Notamacropus eugenii: one gene and its partner. The protein of the gene in region 1 purifies or fractionates together with the protein of each later gene. This does not show direct contact. Links are inferred from orthologs where the notes say so. Each region holds a gene or a part of one and is shown on either strand. Other genes may lie near its edges.

Region 1 (10,181 bases):
AAAACATGAGTTCAAGTGCTAACTCATACTTACTGAGTGACCTCTTTGAGCCTCACTTTCCTTAACTATAAATTAGGGGTAATAATAACACTTTCACAAAGTTGTTGTAAGGGTCACATGACAGCACAAAGTGCTTTTCAAACTTTTATATAAGAGCCAGCTATTATTATAAATTCTTATTTATTGATTTATGGAGATAATTAGAGAAGATTACCTATTTTACAGGTAAGGATACCAAGGTAAAGAGGTTGAGATGTCAGAAGTGGAATCACAAGATCTCAGTTCAGCCTTAGGGTACAGAACTGTAATAAAATAATAATTTACCTTTATATACAAACCCCACAGCTTTCTAGGCCTTTGGGTTTAGAAAGCACTTTCCTTGCAAGTTCTATAATGCCTAAAAATATGTAGTACCCTTCTATTTCTGGTAGTGCTAGAAGAGATAACTGGGATTGGCTGCTACACATGGTGTAAATGTACTTCCAGAGAGAAAGTGGCCATTGGTCCTTCAAGTGCAACACCCTGGAACGATCACTGACAAGTTGCTCCGTGGCTGTGGCCTAACCAGTTTCCACCTTGCTTCACCTGGTGCATTACCATACACAAGAATTTTTGTTTGCTTGCTTCATGGTTGTTGGGTTTGTTTTTTTTTTTAAATCTTCTTCCAGGTATCAATCAAAACCTCATGCCAGCCTCCACTCCTTGGAAATAATGAAATAAGATGACGTATGTGATTCTTTCAGCTGGGCAGTACAATGTGACCTGCATCTGGCTGGAGAAATTAATCTGTTTCCAGTCCTCAGGCCGAATTCTCCAGGGCAGTTGAGCTGGCTCTCCCCTGTTCCTCTCAGGGTGTGCTCTGTCTCTATAGATAGACAAAATGTTTTGCTTTGGCAACCTGCTGCAAGAAAGCTGCTTGCCTCTGAAAACCTAATTTGCACATATTTTGTTCATGGATTCCATGCAGAGGTCCCTCCTCTCCACCTCCAGTTAAGTGGGGGTCCCTTTATATTTGGGGAACTTCCTTTATGTCAGGGAGACGTGGGTTTTGTGAAGAATATGTGAACAAAATATCTGCAGCTAAAGTGTAGGCTTTGGAGCAAAATGGTCCTCCTTTTCCCTGTTGGAGAAAGTGACAGAAAAGAAAATATACCTAACATTATGGCATCAATGCCTCCATCTTCCCAACCCTGGAGCTGCTGAGAACTAAGTACTCAGGCACTCTATGGTACTCCAATAGCTATTTAAAAGTTCTCAGATCACAACCTGTGATTTCTAATGCAGACAAGAGTTATCATAAGACCAAGAGTGGGAGTTAAAAATAATAATAATAAATTACTATGCCACTCTCCCCTCTTCTTTTACCAGGAAAGTATTCATTAACCCTCACCAGGCAGAGTGCAATCTTCTTAAGGGAATTTTCAGATGAAGAAATGGAGGCACACTGAGTTGACTTGCCTGAAGCCACATCGGTATTGGATAGAGCTGAGATTTAAAGACAGTTTTTCTGATTTCAGATTTAATGCTCTTTCCACTACCCCAGGATGCCTCTAAAACAGGAGATAATGGGACAGGTTGGGGAGGGAATCTGATAGCTATCTTCAAGCATTCAGAGGGCCTTCATATGCTGGAAGGATAAGATTTCTGTTTGCCATCCCCACTCCCACCCCAGGCACTAAGAGCAGTAGGTTGAGATTGTAAAGAAAAACTTCCTAATGAGTAGAGCTATCCAAAGTGAACTGAGGCTGATCACAGGCTTTCAGAGTTGAAAGAAACTTCAGCATCCATACAAATCCACCTCTTCCAAAGAGTCCCCTCTTCTTCAAGATGATGGGGGACCCCTCTAATTCCCATAGCAGACTATTCTCCTTTTGGACAACTCTTTTGCTAAGTTTTTCATTAAGTGGAACCCTAACATGCCTTTCTGAATCTTCAGTTCACTGCCTCTTTAGTTCTGCCTCTTGGGACCAAGGAGAACAAGCTTGTTGCCTCTGCTTGGTCATCAGATATTTAGAGTGCTAGCATGTCCCAGCTAAGCCTTTGCTAGGTTAAATAGGCCTAGTTCCTTCCACCAATCCTCACGGGGCAAGGTTTCACATTTCTTTCTGGTTGCCCTCTTCCGAACATGTACCCAGCATATCAATGTCCTGCCTAAAATGTGATATGCAGAACTGAACACAATACTGCAGATGTGGTTTGACCAGAGTAAAGGACAGTGGGATTACTGCCCCAGGAGGGTATTTTCCTTTCTTACTTTTCCACCTCCTGTTGCCTTAGTGATTTTCATCACAGACACCCCAATTCAGAGAATTCTGAGGTTAGTCAATGTCAAGTAATAAGAGGGTAATGGTGAATAGCACCTTAATCGAATGATACCAAGATCAATCTTGAACAATTCCCTTAACCTCCCTGGGTCTGTTTCCTCATTTCTAAAATGGACCTCTAAAGTTGTCTAAATCATTTGAATACCCAATGGATATGGCTCCTTTCCAGTTGTTCCAATTGGAGCTTAGTGGTTTCTGGGCTACCTCCAGATGAGTCCTCTAGATAAGTCTTCACACACTCCATCATCCTGAGGGGCATGGTATACTTTGCAAAAGCACCAGAGTTGGATTCGGAGGAGCTCCAGGTTCCCTCTGACACTGTGTGATCACGAACAAATTACCTAATCTGCTGAGCCGGATTTCTCAACTGTGAAATGAGGTATTAATAACTATGGTACTTAACTCACAGATTTGTTGTGAAGCTCAAATGAGACAACATAAAGCAATCTGCAATTTGTTGCAATTCATCTAATCTCACCAAACTACATTTTCCGGTAAGTCTCTCTGTTTTTAGTACTAGAGTAATATTGGGTCACCATCAGAAAGTCAACAAACATTTATTAAGCACTTACCATGTGCCAGGCACATAGGTGCTGAGAATATAAAGGCAAAAATGTTTCCTCACCTCAAGGAACTCACATCTTGTCCAGGGTCACACAGTTAGTGTCTGAAGATGAATTTGAACTCAGATCCTCCTGACTTGAGGGCCAGTGCTACCTGCCCCTAGCTCACATCTTAATGAGACAAGAAGCAAGAAGTCCATAGTACATGTGGAAGGCAATTCCTTCATTCTTTACCTCACCCTAACCCCCACCCTCAGTGATGTAGTGGAAAAAAAACAAAACCCAGTAAGACTGAGATTCTAGTTTCAGCTCCCCTACTTCCCAGGTGTGACCTTGATTGTCACTCAATCCCTAAACCTTAGTTACCTCATTTACAAAATAGGATTGATCATACTTACCCTGCCTAGCTTCTTGAGCACAGGAACAGTTTCAGTTTCCTTTTTTTACCCTCAGCAACTAGCATCTGGTGCTCAGCATCTAACAAGTGCTTAGTAAATACTTAGTTAATTGGTGCTTTATAGGATTGAGGATCACATAAAAAGTGCTATAATGTGGATTTTGTCAGTCTTCTGAAGAAGTTGGCATGAGGGAATTATGAAGATTCACATATACAATACCACTGTTCCTCCTAGGATATTCCAGGCTGGAGGCAGATTTCAAACTTTGACACACTAGACAAGCACTGGACTTGCAGACAGAAGATCTGAGTTCTAGTGTAGACTACTTATGATCTGCATGACCTTGGACTGACTGGAAGGGGAGATATTGGGGATGCAACCTCAAAAGGAATCAATACTGCCACCGCCTCCCCCCCCCCCCCAAGCTAATATGTTCTCCACTTCACACACTGAGAAGCCTAGCTTCCAGGAACAGAAAACTAATGGGCCTTTGCACTGGTCAGAAGATAATCTGGAACACTCTCTTCTATTGGTGGGAAGTCCATCATGGATCAAGTGGAGGATGTACAGAAGGAGGTGAAGGGCTTTGAATCCACATCCTATGAAGTTGCGTTGAAGTTGTGCTTGACCCGAGGGCAGAACCGGGGGCCAGGAAGCAGGATTTGGAGGTTGGACAGCAGGAAGAACTTCCTAGCTCTAAGATCTGTACGGGAATGGTATGGTGTTCAAGGTTCAAAGGGTTCTTCTTCACCAGAAGCCACATGGCCCCTGTCAACAGGTCAATTAACACCAGGAAGGGACTACTATGTGCTGGGCACTGGGTACAACAGAGGACAAAAGCGGTCCCTGCCCTTGGGGAGCTCACAGTCTCACGGGGAAGGGAGACAAGGGCTAGCCGGGGAAAATGGAGATTATCCCGGAGACAAGTCCTGGTGGGCCCAGGCTAGGCCTCGTGGGAGGCCTTAGGGAACCGGGCGGCCGGGTGCGGGCACAACATCCGGAGCCGCGACCCCTAAGGTGCTCCAAGGCCCTGCCCGGCCCTCTCTCGGCTTTTCATGACCAGATGTCTCTGCACTCCCTCCAGAGGAGGCCCAAAGCCTGCGCCTACACGGCCCGCCATGCCCGCTCCGGAACGGCACGCCGGCGGCTCCAGGGCGCCTGCGCCTTGAGCTCCTCGAGCCTCGATCCGGGCCCTAGGAGACGGTCGGAGGGGGCGGGGCCCGTGCGTCGGCCCGGGCGGCGTGGGTGAGGGAGTCGGAGGAGGGCTGGAGACGAGGAGGAAAGGGAGGGGCGGGGGTGAGGAGCGAGGAGGAAAGGGGAGAGAAGGGGGAGGCAGGGGGCGTGGCCCGGCCGCCGGCGCCGCGCTGGTGCCTCTCGGCCAATGAGCGGCGTCCACATGCCGCGGCGGCGAGAGGGGAGGCAGCAGCGAATAAATGCTATTCGAGCCGCCGCCGCCGCCGCCGTCGCTGCCGCGCCGCTCGCTCCCGTCCCCGACGCCGCCACCTTCGCCGCAGTCTCCTCCTCGGGTCACCGCCGCCGCGGCCCTCTGGGGTGGGGGCTCCGCGGAGGGAGCGAGCGCCGCTCCGGCTAGATAGAGCTCCCCGGGCGGCAGCGTCGGGGCGACCGCGGGGCCCAGCGCCCGGCCGGCAGGCGGGCGAGCGAGGCTCGAGGCGCGGGGCCGGGCCGGGCGGCGGTTGGCGATCGAGGCACGGTCCCGGGCTCGGGCAGGCGCCGGGAGAGCCGACCGGAGCGGAGCCGGGCGGGGGACGGCGTCACCTGCCCAGGGGCCGCGGGGGGGAGGGCGCCCGTGGGGTGATTCAGCGCTCGGCCGAGCGGAAGGAGGCGGCCGAGGAGGAGGAGGCGGCGGCGCCGCGGCTGCTGCTGCTCCTGCTGCGGGCGGGGGGAAAGCGCTGGAACCGGCCCTCCCATCGCCTCCTCCGCTGCCGGCGGCCCAGCCGAGCCGAGCCGAGCCGAGCCAGCCGGGCCGAGCGCGTCCTAGCGGGCCGGGAGCAGGCGGAGGCGGCCCCGGGCGGGCTCGGGCTCGGGCTCCGCAGCCATGGAGAACGCGCACACCAAGACCGTGGAGGAGGTGCTCGGCTACTTCGGCGTCAACGAGAGCACGGGGCTGAGCTTGGAGCAGGTCAAGAAGCTCAAGGAGCGCTGGGGCTCCAACGGTGCGTGCCCGCAGCAGCTCGCCCGCTCGCCCGCTGCGGCCGGGAGGGGGAGGGGGCGGCTGACACCCGCCCGCCCAGGGGCTTCAGCCTTCCCCTGCCGGGGGTTACCCAGCCCATCCAGCCCCCTTTGGGCCTTGCCCGTTTTTCGGAGGACAGGCTCCCTCTAGTTGGGGGCCCAGGCCTTCCCTGCCGCCCCCCACCCTTGTAGGTTGCCCGCTTTGCGCAAGAGGGGAGGGGGATCCACGCTTTTCAGCCATCTCCCCATATTGGGGTCTCCCGTGGCCTTTTATCCGGGGCTCCCCCGGGAGGGTGAGATGGCAGCCCCTCCTAGCGGGGTCCCCGGGCTCCCCTCCCCACCTCTGCGGAGGAGGGGGCCGTCGGGGGCCGGGGCCGGGAGTCTGGGCGTGTAGAGTCCGCATCGGGCTGGAAAGGCGGCCTAAGAGAGAGGGAAGATGGCTGACTGGGGCTCCACCTCGTGGGTCTCTCCCACCCGGGCTTCCCCGCCCCGGTTGTCGCGGCGAATCCCCCCACCCGGAGGAACCTTCCCCACGTGGGGAGGGGGGCTCGGGAGGGCCCCGCAGTGCCATGCCTGCCATTGTCGTTTCCCAGTTCCTATCCCTTGACGACCTTTTTGTGCCTCGATGAATCACCCACGCAGCTCCAGCCCTCGTCTGGGGAATGAGAAAGTGATCCATGGGCTGTCAGGAGAAATCGGGCTTCGGGCTTAGAGGAGCCTCTGACCTTCTGGGCTCCCCAGAGGCACCCCCACACACACATCTGGCAGGGGGGTGACCTGGTTAAAATGGCTCCTTTTTTAGGGTCCCCTCCTTAAGTGGCTGGATTTCACTCTGAGATGTAGGCACAAGGTCATTAACCGAAAAAAAAAAAATTGTATCTTTCTGTTAATTGTCACCTACAGGAAGGATGGTCGTTGTCTTCCAGAATGGAGAATGTTTAAATTTTAACAATTTTTCTTACAGAAAAACCGAATGTTAACGTTTTCTTTTTTTCTTTTCTCTCTTGCTTTCTTGCAAATCTCTGCATACAACAGAATTGCCAGCAGAAGAAGGTAAGTCATTGGCTTCAAAGTTTCTTTTCATTGTTTCTTGCCGAGGCTATTAAGATAACTATTTTAATAATTTGCGTTTGTTATTATAGGGAAAACCTTATTGGAGCTTGTAATTGAACAGTTTGAAGATTTATTAGTTAGAATTTTACTGCTGGCAGCCTGTATATCTTTTGTAAGTATAAAACATTTCTTTTTATTTTTTTTTAAGTATTGGTCGGCCAAATGTTGCAGGGATGAAACTTATAAAACTAAAAGCAGAAAAATGGGTAATAAGCAAAGAAGCCACAGTCAAAGTATTTTGTCTTGGTGTGAGCCATTTGTATTTATATAATGCAGACTATTGGTTTTTTTAGAAAGTAAATGCATGCTTCAGTCTAAGGGGTGTTTTGGTTTTTGGGTTTTTTTTTTAACTAAGGGGGTTAAAGCTAATTGGATTTTCCAAAAACATACTGTAGGGCCAAATAAGCTTCTAAAGCCAAAGTTTTGGTTTTTTTAATTACTAGGCGTTTAATTTTATTTTTAAATCTTGGCTTCTCCTTATTAACAGTTTGTAAGATCACATGAAGATGATGATGGGGTCATTGTCATCTGTAAATAGCACTTAGCCGAGGAGTATTCCCAGTTGTTTTCCCTTTCTGGTAATAGCAAGGTGACAGTTGCTTCTGACAGGGACAAGAATGATGACGCTGGTGATGGCTCTGGGGTTGACCAAATTTGGTCACTGCCCTTCTGGGTGGTGGTATGTTCATCTAAATTGTACCCCCCACCCCACCCCCTTTCTCTGACTTGACTGAGTACCAAGCAGATAGAATGCCTCAGCTGGACAGGACAAAGTTCAGCTTGCCCTGATCCATAGACAAAACGTTTGAACTGGGCAGTTTCCTGGTTGTGTTAGCTGGGGAGTCTACGTTTGCATGCAGGAGCTGGTGGGGTTGCTAAGAAACGAGAGAGATGCAGAGAATGAAAGCCTACGGAGGGGATGGGGGCGAATGTGTTCTTGATAAGTTATTAACCAATTTGTTCTCTGTGGGTTATTCTTTTTTTGAGCCCAGAGAACATTTGTTCCGTGTGGTAGATAGAGGCCTTCACACACTTGTAAGGAAGGCTTGGAAAACTCAATTCTCTGGATGAAATAAAATAATCTCATTCACAAAAATGTTTCTTCTCCCCACCACTTGAGGACAGGAAGGATTGGTCTTGATGTGACCACATCTGCTGAGGCGGCATGTGCGCCTCTGATTTTTCAGCCAGGCATGGCTTTAGAAAACCCTGACACAGCCCACTCGAGGTGAACTCCTTGGCAGTTGGGTGTGCTGCCCCATGGGCCACCTTCATCTTTCCTCTATCTTTTCTCTGTCTTATCTTTCAGCAGAAGGAGATTTGAACAGGCAGAGCTATTGACTTAGAATGGCAGGTGTCCGAGTTGTTTTCCAAATGGTAGATCTAGGAGGAGCAAACATTCATAGACACAGTCTTAGTCCTATAAGCCCTTTCCCAGGGAGTGTAGTGCAGTCAGAATTGCCGTGAGTGCCATTAATTACCTTTAGGGTCTGCCTTTGGTTTCTTCTCTTGGAGGAAAATTGAGGCATGATATCACAACAAATGGTTTGCGGAGCCTGGTGAATTGCTCCCAACCTCCTAATATGACCTTTTTCTCCCATATTTTTTTAAACTTAAATTACACAGTTTAACTCCAATATATCTGAGAAAATTAGAATCATCTTTTGTATAGATTAATCAGTTTGCATTTTAAAGGATTAGTAGCTTGTTACCACTAACATGTACTTGCACTTCTAACTGCAAATACTGTGTGGATTCATTCAGGGACTAAGCAGAGCTGCTAATAGTCTTGAATAGTTTACAGAAGGAATAAACAGGCAGCCAAAGCACATTGGAAATGACTTTGCCTCCTTGAACTAATCGCAATTTGTTGAGAAGTAGAATAAAATATGAATTTGATTTAACTTCGCAAAACAAGGCAGAGTGAATATTTAGACTGGTGCATGTCTTACACCTTTAGATGGCTAAAATGGTTTTTGAAATCTCATTTCTGGGCCAACACAGCTTTGTACTTGGGTCTCTTGATGCCACCAGGGACCACTGAGATGTTACATCAGAAGCATGGTCATGTGTACATTAAAGCAAAATTAATCTTAGCTGCTGAGTTGTTGGTGTTGGTAATACCCAAGACAGAGATCAATATTGGAAGTTTTAATTGAGCTCTCTCTCTCTCCTCTTTCTCCCCCTGTCCCCCATATCTATATGCGGAGAAAGAGGGGGAGTCTATCTGTATATTATAGAGTATATTTTAAACTTTAGCATGTGATGGATGTTGAAAGCATAGTTTATTGTAAAAATTTAATAGAGTTTATGGTTTCTGGAAATTCACGTACTCATTTTCAGAGTATTTCAAGCAGCATCTTCTTTAACCTTTCCAAACCACCATTCTTGTGGTCACTGGGAATTGTCCAACATCTTCATCTTTTTTGAATTTTGATTCTCTGATGGCTGCAGTACAATGAGTCTTGTCATGCATTCGAATCTCAGTTCTGTCATTTCATAACTGTGTGACCTTGAGCCATTAAACTTGTCTCTAAGCTTTCTTTTTTCTCATCTATAAAATAAAGAGGTTAGATTAGACGATACTCAGAAAGTTCCTTTGAGTTCTGAATCCTGTGATTCTTTGATAAAAAATGACTAGGAAACAATTTGAAAATGGAAGTTGTTTAAACTTGAGTAGCTGAACCAGGCAGATGTGAAGGGACAGAAGAAAAACTGCTCTGCTGTATGGCTAATCTTCTCTTATTGCATTCTTTTTTTTTTTAAGTGATGCTTAATTATTTCCTTTATTTTAACAAATATATTTTGTTAACGTAAAATTTTGATGTGTGTCTGATAGAGATGGGGTATATGTGTTGTGTAACTGGTTCTGCTTAGATTGTAAAAAATGCACCCAGCTAAACATTTACATGATGTTTCTTGTGCCTGCTTGACATGCTAAACCAGAGAGTAAACTGTTAACTCTGGCTAATGTTCTGCTGTAGCAGAACTTAGGAAATTGCAATTATTTGTACACTGGTGACTTTTAGGGATTTGTCATTTAGTCATTTCAGTGGCGTCCGACTCTTTGTAACCCCATGTGGGGTTTTCTTGATGAAGATACTGGAGTGGTTTGTCATTTTGTTCTTCAGCTCATTTTCTAGATGAGGAAACTGAGGCAAACAAGGTTAAATGACTTGCCCAGGGTCACACAGTTAGGAAGTGTCTGAGGACGGATTTGAACTCAGAAAGATTCGCCTTCCTGACTCGTGCCCTGCACTCTGTCCACTGCGCCACCTGGCTGTAATACTCACCAAAGAGTATATTGAGAAGGCCCTTAGTCTCGAATTATTATGTACGTATGTATGTGTCAGAGAGAGACACACACACATACAAAAGTGAGAACGTAAATGGAGTGACCCTGGCATTCTGAGGTCAATGTTTGATGCTCTCCACCTTTTATTTGTGGGAAAGTGCTAGGAATTTTTTTCTTTTTCCTACATAGATTTACTTCTATGTAGGCTTCTGATAAGCCACAGTTAATCACCAATGTGGTAGTTATTCTTCATAAACTTTTGCTATTTTCCTGTTATTTCCAATTCTCTTCCCAGACT
Region 2 (10,528 bases), on another chromosome or scaffold:
GCATAGGGAATTCTCATGTTACTAGATCTCACAGTGAAATCAAGGGTCACTGAGGGAAAGGCAGCTTGAAGAGGGTTAAGAAAGAGGTCATTTGAGTTTTTTAACTTGTCAGTGCATGAAGAACCAAAAAAAAAAAAAAAAGCTAGCTGCCAACATTGTTGCACCCTCCAGTCAGTCCTATGTGATTCCCCCTCCCCCAACTCCAACTTACCCATTTGAATCCTGAGAAATGAACAATGAGTGCCTATTTAAGATCAGCAAGCAAGTTTATGTGAGGACGTATTAAGCATTTACTGTATGGAAGGCACTGTGCTAGACAGAAACTGGTGATACAAAAAATGGTGAAAACTCTGGCTGTGTGTGTGTGTATACATACGTATATACACACAAAGTATATGGAAGGTATTTTCAGAGAGGGGATTTGAGCTGAGTCTCCGAGCTGGAGTTGAGGAAGTAGAGCATTCCAGTCATGAGGGATCATATGCACATTTGTATTTGTTCATTAAAAAAGGCAGTTTAGAAGATAACTTTTTTAGGTTACACAAAGAAATGAATCACATCGCTGTATCTTGTGGTGGTAGAAGTTGAACATTTTGTCCATTAAGAAAATAATACTATCAATTTAATTTCTAAATTTATTTTAAATTTAATAAATTGAAAATTAAGATTTAAAGACTTCTGAAACAAATTTTAATTCATTATTGAAATAATACAAATTAAAAACCCTAATTTCTCTTCAGTAATGATGTCAATATTTTAGGAGATTTAACTCCTTCTGTTTAATGGTTCTACTCCTTTGTTTTTACAATATCCTGCATCAGCACATGCCAAATTTTAAAATGTTATTTATGTATTTACCATCAACAATTAGCAAATGACTTTTAATTTCTCCTTTTAACGCAGCAGCAGTGAGATTTAAAAGTAATTAATATCAGTAAACATGTCACTTTCTGAAACTTAATAAGTTCCATGCATACTTTAATGGGAGGGGATGGGAACAAAATGAGGTGAGCAGCAGCAGCAGCAGTAGTGGTGGTGCTATGGACCTTTGATATCTACCTGACCAGGGAATAAAATAATAATAAAAGTAATAAAATAGCTAGCATTTATATAATGCTATGTATATTTATATAAATATTTACATATTTATATAAAGCACTTTACAAATCTTATTTTATTTTCACAACAACGCTGGGAGGTATGTGCTATTAATATCCTCTTTATAGATAAGGGAACTGATGCAGAGGGTGACAGTCCCTGGTCACACAGCTAGCTTTTATTAGAGACAGGACAGGAATCCCAGGAGTTCTTCCAACTGGGCTTTTACTTTACACATGTTGTCATGCTGCCTTGCAGTTTGCCCTACTAAAGGGACATGCTTTGACTCAATATAATGAAACCTATACTATGATAAACTAGTTTTATAATAGGATTTTATGGTATTTTTCAGCCCTGTGGGTGATATTCTATTTATATGGAACTGTATGTGAGAAAATGAAGTGCCAGTAAAGTGAAAGAACTTGAATACTCATTGTGTGTCAGGTGGTACAGATATCATTGTCTGACCATTTCACTGTGTGCTTAGGAAGAGAAAATTTATGTGAGAAACCAACACTGGTAGCCTTCCTGAACTGCAGGGCCCTTATGTGACATTAGTGAAATTAAACGCTCTTCCCCAGCTTTTCTTAGCAGTGTACTTTGCATACAAGTGCACTCTTGAGATCTGTTGATTTTTGGAATCTCTCAACCTCTCCTTTTTAGGCCTGTTTTGTTTTCTCTCTTTTAAGGTATATCTACTGTTTCTCCTGCATTCTCCTGTCATTCTCTAGTTGAAACCTTATACAAAAGTCAGCTTTTAGTTATTTATAATTTAGTGTGAATTTAAATCAACTCTCACATATTTTACATTTTAAACTTTATATCTTGTTGTGGAATGAAATCCACATTATTGTGATTTCAGGTGTCAATTGATCAGATGAGGATGGGCAAAGTAATATAAGGAAGGAGTGCTGACTTTTTTTTTGTCTTAGTTCTGATAGAAGCAGTGTGCTCTGGCAAGCCACTGAATTCTTTTGGTCATCAGTTTGTTTTAAATTTAGGGGTGTTCTGAGACAACTCTAAGATCTCTTTCAGCTCTTAAATTTTATCACTCGTTGCATTTTTCTGGTACATCTTAAATTATGTTCGGGAGCTAGCCTATGGATAATTGGCTTTAATGCTAAGAATATAAGTTAGTCATCCTAGATGTTAACTTATATTTGTTGATTCAACTTTTAGCCAGAAGTTCCAGTTTTCAGTTTAAAGACTGCTTTTAAACTTGAGCATGTATAAATAAAAATCTGTTATAAAACAGAACGTATTGATTTTTAGCAGTGTATTTATTCATTCAGGATTTTCCCCAGCTCCTTGTTGTACATGGTTTTGAAATTTTGTTAATCTTTTAGAGATTAGCTCTTTGAATTCTAATGGGAACTCACCAACTTAAAATATAAGGTATTTAATTTAATCTTGATGTGATCTGATCATTTCTAAAACAAGTGCATGTATAAATATATATGTATATATGTATTCTTGTGTCTGATAGAGTATTTTATAGAAATAAACAGCATATTCTTAAAAGAGCTCCATTATTATGTAAACAAATGGCACATCAGATCATAAATTTACAGCTAGAAGGGGTCTGCCAACTCTAGAAGATGAGGAAACTGAGCCTTGGAAGTGGCTTGCTATTGTACACAAATAAGTAGCAGAGTAATAATTTCAACCCAGGTCCTTTGACTTCAAAACTCATATTTGTTCTTAAAGCTTATCTGGTCCGTAGTTAGTGCTTGCTAAAATTTTCTTATTTGCACAGACAGCTCTACAAACTAAGGTAAAATATCTACCACAGTGAGAGGTGGAAAGGAACTTTAGATGAAATTTGTGCTAAGCAGGGATTATTAATCTGGGACCTGTGAACCTGATTTTTAATATTTTGATTAATTTGTTTCAAAATAATTGATCTCCCTCCCTATGTATTTTATTTTTACACATTTCAGAACATTATTCTGAGGACCATAAGCCTCTACAGCTTGTTAATGTGTTCTATGACACAAAAATAGGTTAAGAACCCCTGTTGTAGAGAAAACCAAAGTTCCCGCTTTTCAAAAAAAAAAATCATAGTGATGCTTGAAGCTTCAAGTAAATTCCTAGGGCAGGAAGGTAAAATTATGTGTTAGAACGATATTTTATCCCAAGTGAAAACAAGAACATAGAAAGGAAAAAACTGGTTTAAAGTCAGTCATTGGCAGAAATATATTAAATCACATGCAGAGTCAAATGAAGCAGCCCAGAATTCTCATTCTAACAGAAAGCACTCTATATTATTAGATTCAAGTGGTTGTTTTCTAATTAGGAAAGACTATTTTTCCCTATGTTCTATAAATATTTTGAGGATCACCAAGTAGCTTTTAATGCTTGGTATTCAGTTTAGCTTAGATCACGATTTTTAACATGGTGTTAGGTCATGTAGAAGTGCTCCTTTTTTAAAAAAAGCATTTTCTCTTGAACAAAAAAAACACAGTCCTTGAAATAAGTTTATGGCATTTACATTCTTCAGTTGTTAATTTCAGTATAAAGAGTTGTAACTGTTACTGAAAAAATCAGTGTATTGTACAGTCACAGGAATGTTTACAATTCTACAAGATGTAAGTAAAAGTTCTATCCTTGTGTTACCTCTTAATTTTTTCAGTTAAAATTATTCAGTAGGAAGTGATAATGAGGAAGTATATAATAACAGTATTATGAAAGATGCTAAAAGTGAATATAATTTCACAATTAGTATTTATAAAATGAATTTGTGTTAAAGGTATGTTAGTCCTTTTTGGACTTTTTGACCTTGAAGTGTTTTGTGTGTGTGTGTGTGTGTGTGTGTGTGTGTGTGTGTGTTTAAAGGACTTATCCCCTCTCAAAGATGGGGAAACTGAGGTATATGCATTAATGTGTTCTGGGGGAAGTGTTTTTATTTAGAAGCAAAACTTTTTAATTAGATTTTTAAGTGATGTCTGGCTCAGAACTAAAATATACAAATCATTCAAAAACAGCATAATGGCTTTGTTTCAACATATATAAAAAAGACTAAAATCTGAGTAGTGGATTAAAGAGTTACCAAAGATAGTTAAAAAATAAGTCTCTTACCTTGGCTGCTCAGATAATTGCAAACATGTAGTGCAGTATGCTCTCAGTTGTCTGAAGTCCTCGTGTTTTACTGGCACCTTTTTTTTGAATGTCACTATATTTGTGGAAACAGTTGAAGTAGGTGGAGAAAGAGAAGTTTCAGAGGGAGGACCCATGATGTCATACACTAATTGAGAAGTTGTGATTGGTTATTATATACCTCAACACTGAGATTATCCAATCAAACTCACTGAAACCGTGATTAATACTACTTTAGAACTGCAAAGGTCACCAGCCTTTGATATTTTACTTATTGAAAAAAGCAAATGGTGAACTATAAGGCTGGTTCTTATATAAAAGAGAGTGCCATGTTTGCTCTTGATAGTTTGTTTTGTTTTTGTTCAGAAAGCTTTTAAAGAATCCCCTCCCCTAGATGTTTTTGGTGTATTATAAAATTTTCATATTGTAAAAATTTCAAGTAGTAAGTGATTTATTTACAGAACTTTTCAAGTTGCAGTAATAATAAGGAACTTGATGCTTCTAATTAGATGCATTCCCATTGAGTCACTGGGCCAAAGTGCTATCTCTGTTCAGTTTTATATTTAATTCTGTGATTGTCTAATATTAAAAGTTTAAAAGAATTTTGAATTTTTTTCATTTAAACACAAATTGATACATCCTTAGTACGTGTTCATATGTGCATACATACACACACACGCATACATATACATTCAGTGGTAATCACTTTTTAATTCTTTTTTTTTTTAAAGTTTTTGTAAAAAGGTCATTTATTTGAAAGCTAAGCAAGAACAAAAGCACAAGCCATTGATTTTAACACTCCTGTTCTAACGTGGTCTCTGGAATGAGTAGGCATAGATTTGACTCATTTCTGTTACATAGCATTGGTCTCACCAATGTTCACATGTAAATGCTGCGTTTCTGCTGGATTCTTATTTCAGCTATTTTTAGGCTGGATCCCAAAGGTTATGCCTCTCTAATTTGCTAATGTATATGGAGGGATGTATAGACATATGCTTACTATGTAAATATAGTTTAAATTAAAATTTATTAAAACAGCTAAAGGGTGATTGCTAGCATATGTGTGTTGTGTATGGGTATATATCTCTTCTAGGTAATTAATTTGCTTAAGCATTTTAAAATTTCTGCTTTCAGAAATAAAAACTTAAGTTTAATATTTCTAAGGTACAAAAAGCATTCCAAAATCTTTTTTTAAAAAGTGATGTATTGTTTTAGGGATTTCTTGTTTATTTTTGTTTGTGTTCAGTGTATACTATGGAATTTGTAAAAAAAAAAAAATATAGTACATTTACTCTGCATTTTTATATGCATTGATATTAGTTCTACATAAGCAAATCAAGTAGCCTTTAAAATCTGCAGCTGCTGTTTTATGTGTCCTTAAATGGATATCTTCTGGTATTCCTCCAGAGGAAGATAAGAATCCATATCTGGGAGCATTTTTTCATTCTCCATTTATTTAAAGAACCAGTGAAAACTGATTTTAAAATAATATTTTGGGAGAAAATGTTTTATGGATATAATAAAGTAAAAATGGAATACCTGAAAAGTATACATAAAAATGAATGAAATGAGTAGTTTTTCCTACAGAACTTTAAAAACCTCATATTTCTCTTGTTCTCTTGTGTTTAATACTTTTTCCAAGTGAAAAATGTTGTGTAGCTAAAATTTTAAATCCCATTCATTCCAGAGTACATTTCTGTTACTTTTGTGAACTATTATAGAGCAGAAGATTCAGAGAATGGGAGATTTAAAACAGATTTACAGTATATATTGATATTATGACAAATGGGGAGAGACAGAAGCCAACAGACTCTTGATAACTTTAAAAAATGATGTTTTAAATCTGGATGGTATCTATTAAAATCCGAACATATCTGGATGGATATCTTTTTTATTAGGAAAAGAAAAAATTTGAAGTCATTAAAAAGAAGAAAGTTTGCAATTCTTGGAAAATGGAGTTTGGTGGTAATTTAGTTTGATAAACCAGAAGTTTACTGTATGCTTAATTCTAATATGCTCATTATGTATTTGTTTATTAATTTCCTAGGGATTCAGAAAATTAGCAGAAATAGTATGTAGGAATAACAACGTACAAACGAAGAATTTCTTCTCTTTTGTGTATAAGTATGAAGAGATGCCTGTGTTTGGCCTACTCTTGTCTTAGAGTCTAAGCCTCTTTTTAAAAAACAAGGAGTGCAAACACTTAAGAAATGTCAGTGTGCTTTTGAATGTATTCTGAGCCTTAGAGTTGCTATGTGTTCTAGGCACTATGCTGAACAATAACACACACACACACACACACGCAGAAAGAGTTTGCTTTCAAGGAAATGTAGTAGTCAATAGGATTGAGGGTTTAGCTGGTATTAAAAGTATTCATGGCTGGTATGAGTAGATTCTGAGGAGGAACTTGACCATTAGAACAGGGGGGAGGTTAGAGTTGGAGGAGATTCTGACTGAACCCTCACAATGTGCCAAGCTTTGTGTTAGGTACAGGAGTGGGAGTAGATCCAGGGGAAGGTACTCATCGGAGCATGGTGGACAAATACAGAGTTAGAAGCAGGAGCAAAGGATTGACTGGTCTGGGCCTTGCAGATTGTAGGGGCAGAAGAGATGTGTGTAGAGGGAGAAGATGGGGGAGCATTTTGAGACCAAGCAAATGTGTAGATAAAGGAAAGCTTTGGGTGGAGCTTAGTGTTCTGCCCTCTAGCATTCCTGTTAGAGGGAAGAGGAGGCTGAGATTAATCATTAGAATTGCCTCAGCATTTCAATTTGAAGTTTTTATTCTTTCCAAGTCAACAAGCATATATTTAGCTCCTACTCTATGCCAGGCACTGTGCTATATACCAAGAAAGTTAAAAACAACCCCTGTCCTCAAGGCACTTAGAATAGAATTAGAATAGGCAGTGAGGAAACAAAACTATCACTTTGTGTATGATGTGATGCTATACTAGAGAACCCTAGAGAATCAACTAAGAAACAACTTATCAAAGTTGCAGCATATAAGACATAAATAAGCAGTATTTCTTTATATGACCAATAAAGCCCAGAAGCAAAAGATAAAAAGAGAAATTCCATTTAAAATAACTGTAAACAATATAAAATACTTAGGAACCTACCTGCCAAGACAAACCCAGGAACTATATGAGCACAGTTACAAAACACTTTCCATACAAGTAATGTCAGATCCAAACAATTAGAAAGATAGCAGTTGCTCATGGATACGCTGAACCAATATCATGAAAATGACAGTTCTCTCTAAAATAATTTATTTATTCAGTGCCATTCCAAACTTCCCCAAAATTATTTGATAGAGGTAGAAAAAAAGTAACAAATCATCTGAAAGAACAAAAGGTCAAGAATATCAGTGGAATTAATGAAAAAAATACAAAGGAAGGTAACTTAGCAGTTCCAGATCTCAAACTATATTATAGAGCAGTAATCATCGGAACTATCTGCTACTGGCTAAGAAATAGAGTGGTGGATCAGTGGAATAGATTAGGTTTACGAGACATAGTGGTAAATTACCACAGTAATTAAATGTCTCACAAACCCAAAGACCCCAGCCTCTGGGATAAAAATTCACTATTTGACAAAAACTGCTGGGAAAACTGGAAAACAATAGGGCCCAAACTAGATATAGACCAATATCTCATACCATACTACCAAGATAGGGTCAAAAGGGATACATGATTTAGACATTAAAATAGTCTGCCTGTAAGATCTATAGAGAAGGGAAGAATTTTTGATCAAACGAGATAGAGCATTACAAAATAGAAAAAAAAAGTAATTTTGATTATAATAAATTAAAAATAAACACAAACAAAAACAAAACCAGTGCAACCTAGATTAGAAGGAAACAATCTTTATAGTAAGTATTTCTGATAAAGGCTTCATTTTTCAAATAAAGAGAACTGAGTCCAACTTATAAAGACTACAAGCCATTTTTCCCTATTGATGAATGGTCAAAGGATATGAACAGGCAGTTTTCAGAAGAAACCAAAATTATCTATAGGCAAATGAAGTGCTCTAAATCACTTGATTAGAGAAATGCAAATTAAAGCAACTCTGAGATACCATCTCACATCTATTAGATTGACTAATATGACAAAAAAGGAAAATGATAAATGTTGGAAGGGATGTGGGAAAATTGGGACACTAATGTGCTGTTGGAGTTGTGAACTGATCCAACCATTCTGGAGAGCAATTTGGAACTATGCCCAAAGTGCAACCAAACTCTGCATACTCATGTATTTCTTAAAAGCAAATGTTTTTGAGAATCTTAGAGCTGAAAAAGATTTCATAGGCTAGGTCAAACTCATACCAGAATAAAGATTTCTTCAGTGTGTGAGTCATGCAGTATATTTTTAAAAACATCTACTGAAGGAGAACCCAGTACTTCCCAGATGATCCTATCCTACTTCTAATTAAGATTTTTTTTATATCATCTCTAATTCTGACACTGAATCTTACTTATTATTCCTGTTTTACTTCTTGGAACCAAAACAGAATAAGTCTACTTTTGGAAGACCACTTCACAATCAGATATTTGAAAATAACTGTTATGCTCCTGTTAAGTTTTCTTCTCCAGGCTAAATCTTTCATTTCTTTCAGCTGACCCTCATCTGAATAGAAGCTCCTTGTAAGTGTGGAAATACCATTGTTTGTACTTTATTGCCAGTGTCTAGCACAGTATCTGGCAAAAAGGGAACTGATTCATAAATTGTATGAAATTGGCTTTAAAGACATTTAATCAATATTTATTGATTGTTTTATACAGCCTAATGCCCAGTCCAGAGATGGGGAACTTATGGCCATCAGGCCACATGTGGCCCCATAGGTCCTCAGATGTGGCCTTTTGACTTAATCCAAACTTCACAGAACAAATCCCCTTATAATAAAAGAATCTGTTGTGTAAAACTCAATCAAAAGGCGGTACCCATGGACCTCTAGAGGGCCTCATCTCCTTTAACTTTTTTTTTTTCACATGAGGTAGGGAGTCCCAGCTTTGAAAACTGTTACAATAGTTCAGGCTAAAGTGAATGAGGGCTTGATCTATGGTGGTGACTGTATCACTGGAGAGAAGAGCACCCTAGGACAGAGCCTTAGTATAAATCCAAGAGAGCACTCCTTTAACCATTCTGCCCCCCCCCCAAACAAACAGAGAAAACCATTCACTGTTGACTTCAGTGTTCCATCTGGCTGTTTCCTTGAATCTTTTCCCATGTTTTGTCTTTACCCCTTTGGCAGTGTGGTTAAGGCTGTTGATTCTCAGAATAATGTTTGTTACTGCACAAAGTAAAATACTTAGAATACATACTCAGAGAGGAGATTAAGAAGAGAAGGTGGCAACAGTTTTAGGGTTTGTGGAAAAGTTAAAGATGAGTATTGAGAAGAACCCATTGACTCCAGCAGTTTAAGAGGTTTTTGGTTATTTTGGAGAGAGCAACTTCAGTTGAATGTGAAGGTCTGAAGCCAGAGTGCGGAGAGTGTAGAAGAGAGTGAGAAGATGAAGCACCTAGTGTAAACAAGTTTCTCAAGGAGTGTAGCAGGCAAGGGGAAGAGAAATGGGAGGATAGTAAGGATGATTGGACCATATGATGATGGCTTCTTTAAGGATTGGGCATGACAGATATATTTTCAGACAGCAGAGAAGGAACCAGTAGATAGAGGGGGTTTGAAAATGAGGGAGAGAGGAGATGAATATAGGGAAAATCTTCTGGAAAATATGGGAGGGAATGGAATAAGGGTGAATGTAATGGGATTGGCTTTTAATGAGAGAGGGACATCAGTAAATGGCTTCAATTTTCTTATCTATTTATGAATCAAGACCCTCACTGGAGGTGTTGTGTGTTGGGTGTTGTGTGAGATTTGAGAATGGATTAAAATGCTTGGAATTTTGTAGTGAGTGGGATAGGTTGATTAAGGAGGAATGATTGGTTGATTTGCTGTAATGAAGGCCCAGATGAGATTAGATAATTGAAAATTGTCCTGGATTCAGTCGGAAGAGTCGATTCCATTCAGCAGCATTTGAGTAGGAACATAAGAGCAAGAGGAATTTGTTTTTTTTAATAAATATTCATTGGTATTTTTTTTCATAAAACATTATGTATTTCAGTTCCCTATTCTCAGAGAGTAGCACCTTGGAACAAAGAATAAGGCAGTCTAACCAACTCATGAAAAAGCTTGACTTTTGTCATGTTTAATAAACATAACCCATGCATTTTTGCAAATAAATGGAGGGTCATTTTCATATCCCTTCTCTGGGACCAAACTTGGTGGTTATAATTTTATAGCCTTCAGTTTTGATTGTTTTGTTGTTTTTCTTTCCATTTAC

Evidence for each region.
Region 2: the proteins of ATP2A2 (region 1) and PLN purify together in Homo sapiens (affinity purification with western blotting; 4 studies listed by BioGRID). This does not show direct contact. The link is inferred for Notamacropus eugenii from reciprocal best matches to the Homo sapiens genes ATP2A2 and PLN.

The regions. Positions count from the first base shown.
Region 1 is NC_092875.1:36,063,644-36,073,824, reverse strand, and holds the start of ATP2A2 (sarcoplasmic/endoplasmic reticulum calcium ATPase 2), read left to right. Parts: upstream 1-5,209; 5' UTR 5,210-5,341; coding exon 5,342-5,459; intron 5,460-6,510; coding exon 6,511-6,528; intron 6,529-6,617; coding exon 6,618-6,700; intron 6,701-10,181.
Region 2 is NC_092873.1:200,443,623-200,454,150, reverse strand, and holds the start of PLN (phospholamban), read right to left. Parts: upstream 4,282-10,528; 5' UTR 4,177-4,281; intron 1-4,176. UniProt on the Homo sapiens protein: Reversibly inhibits the activity of ATP2A2/SERCA2 in cardiac sarcoplasmic reticulum by decreasing the apparent affinity of the ATPase for Ca(2+).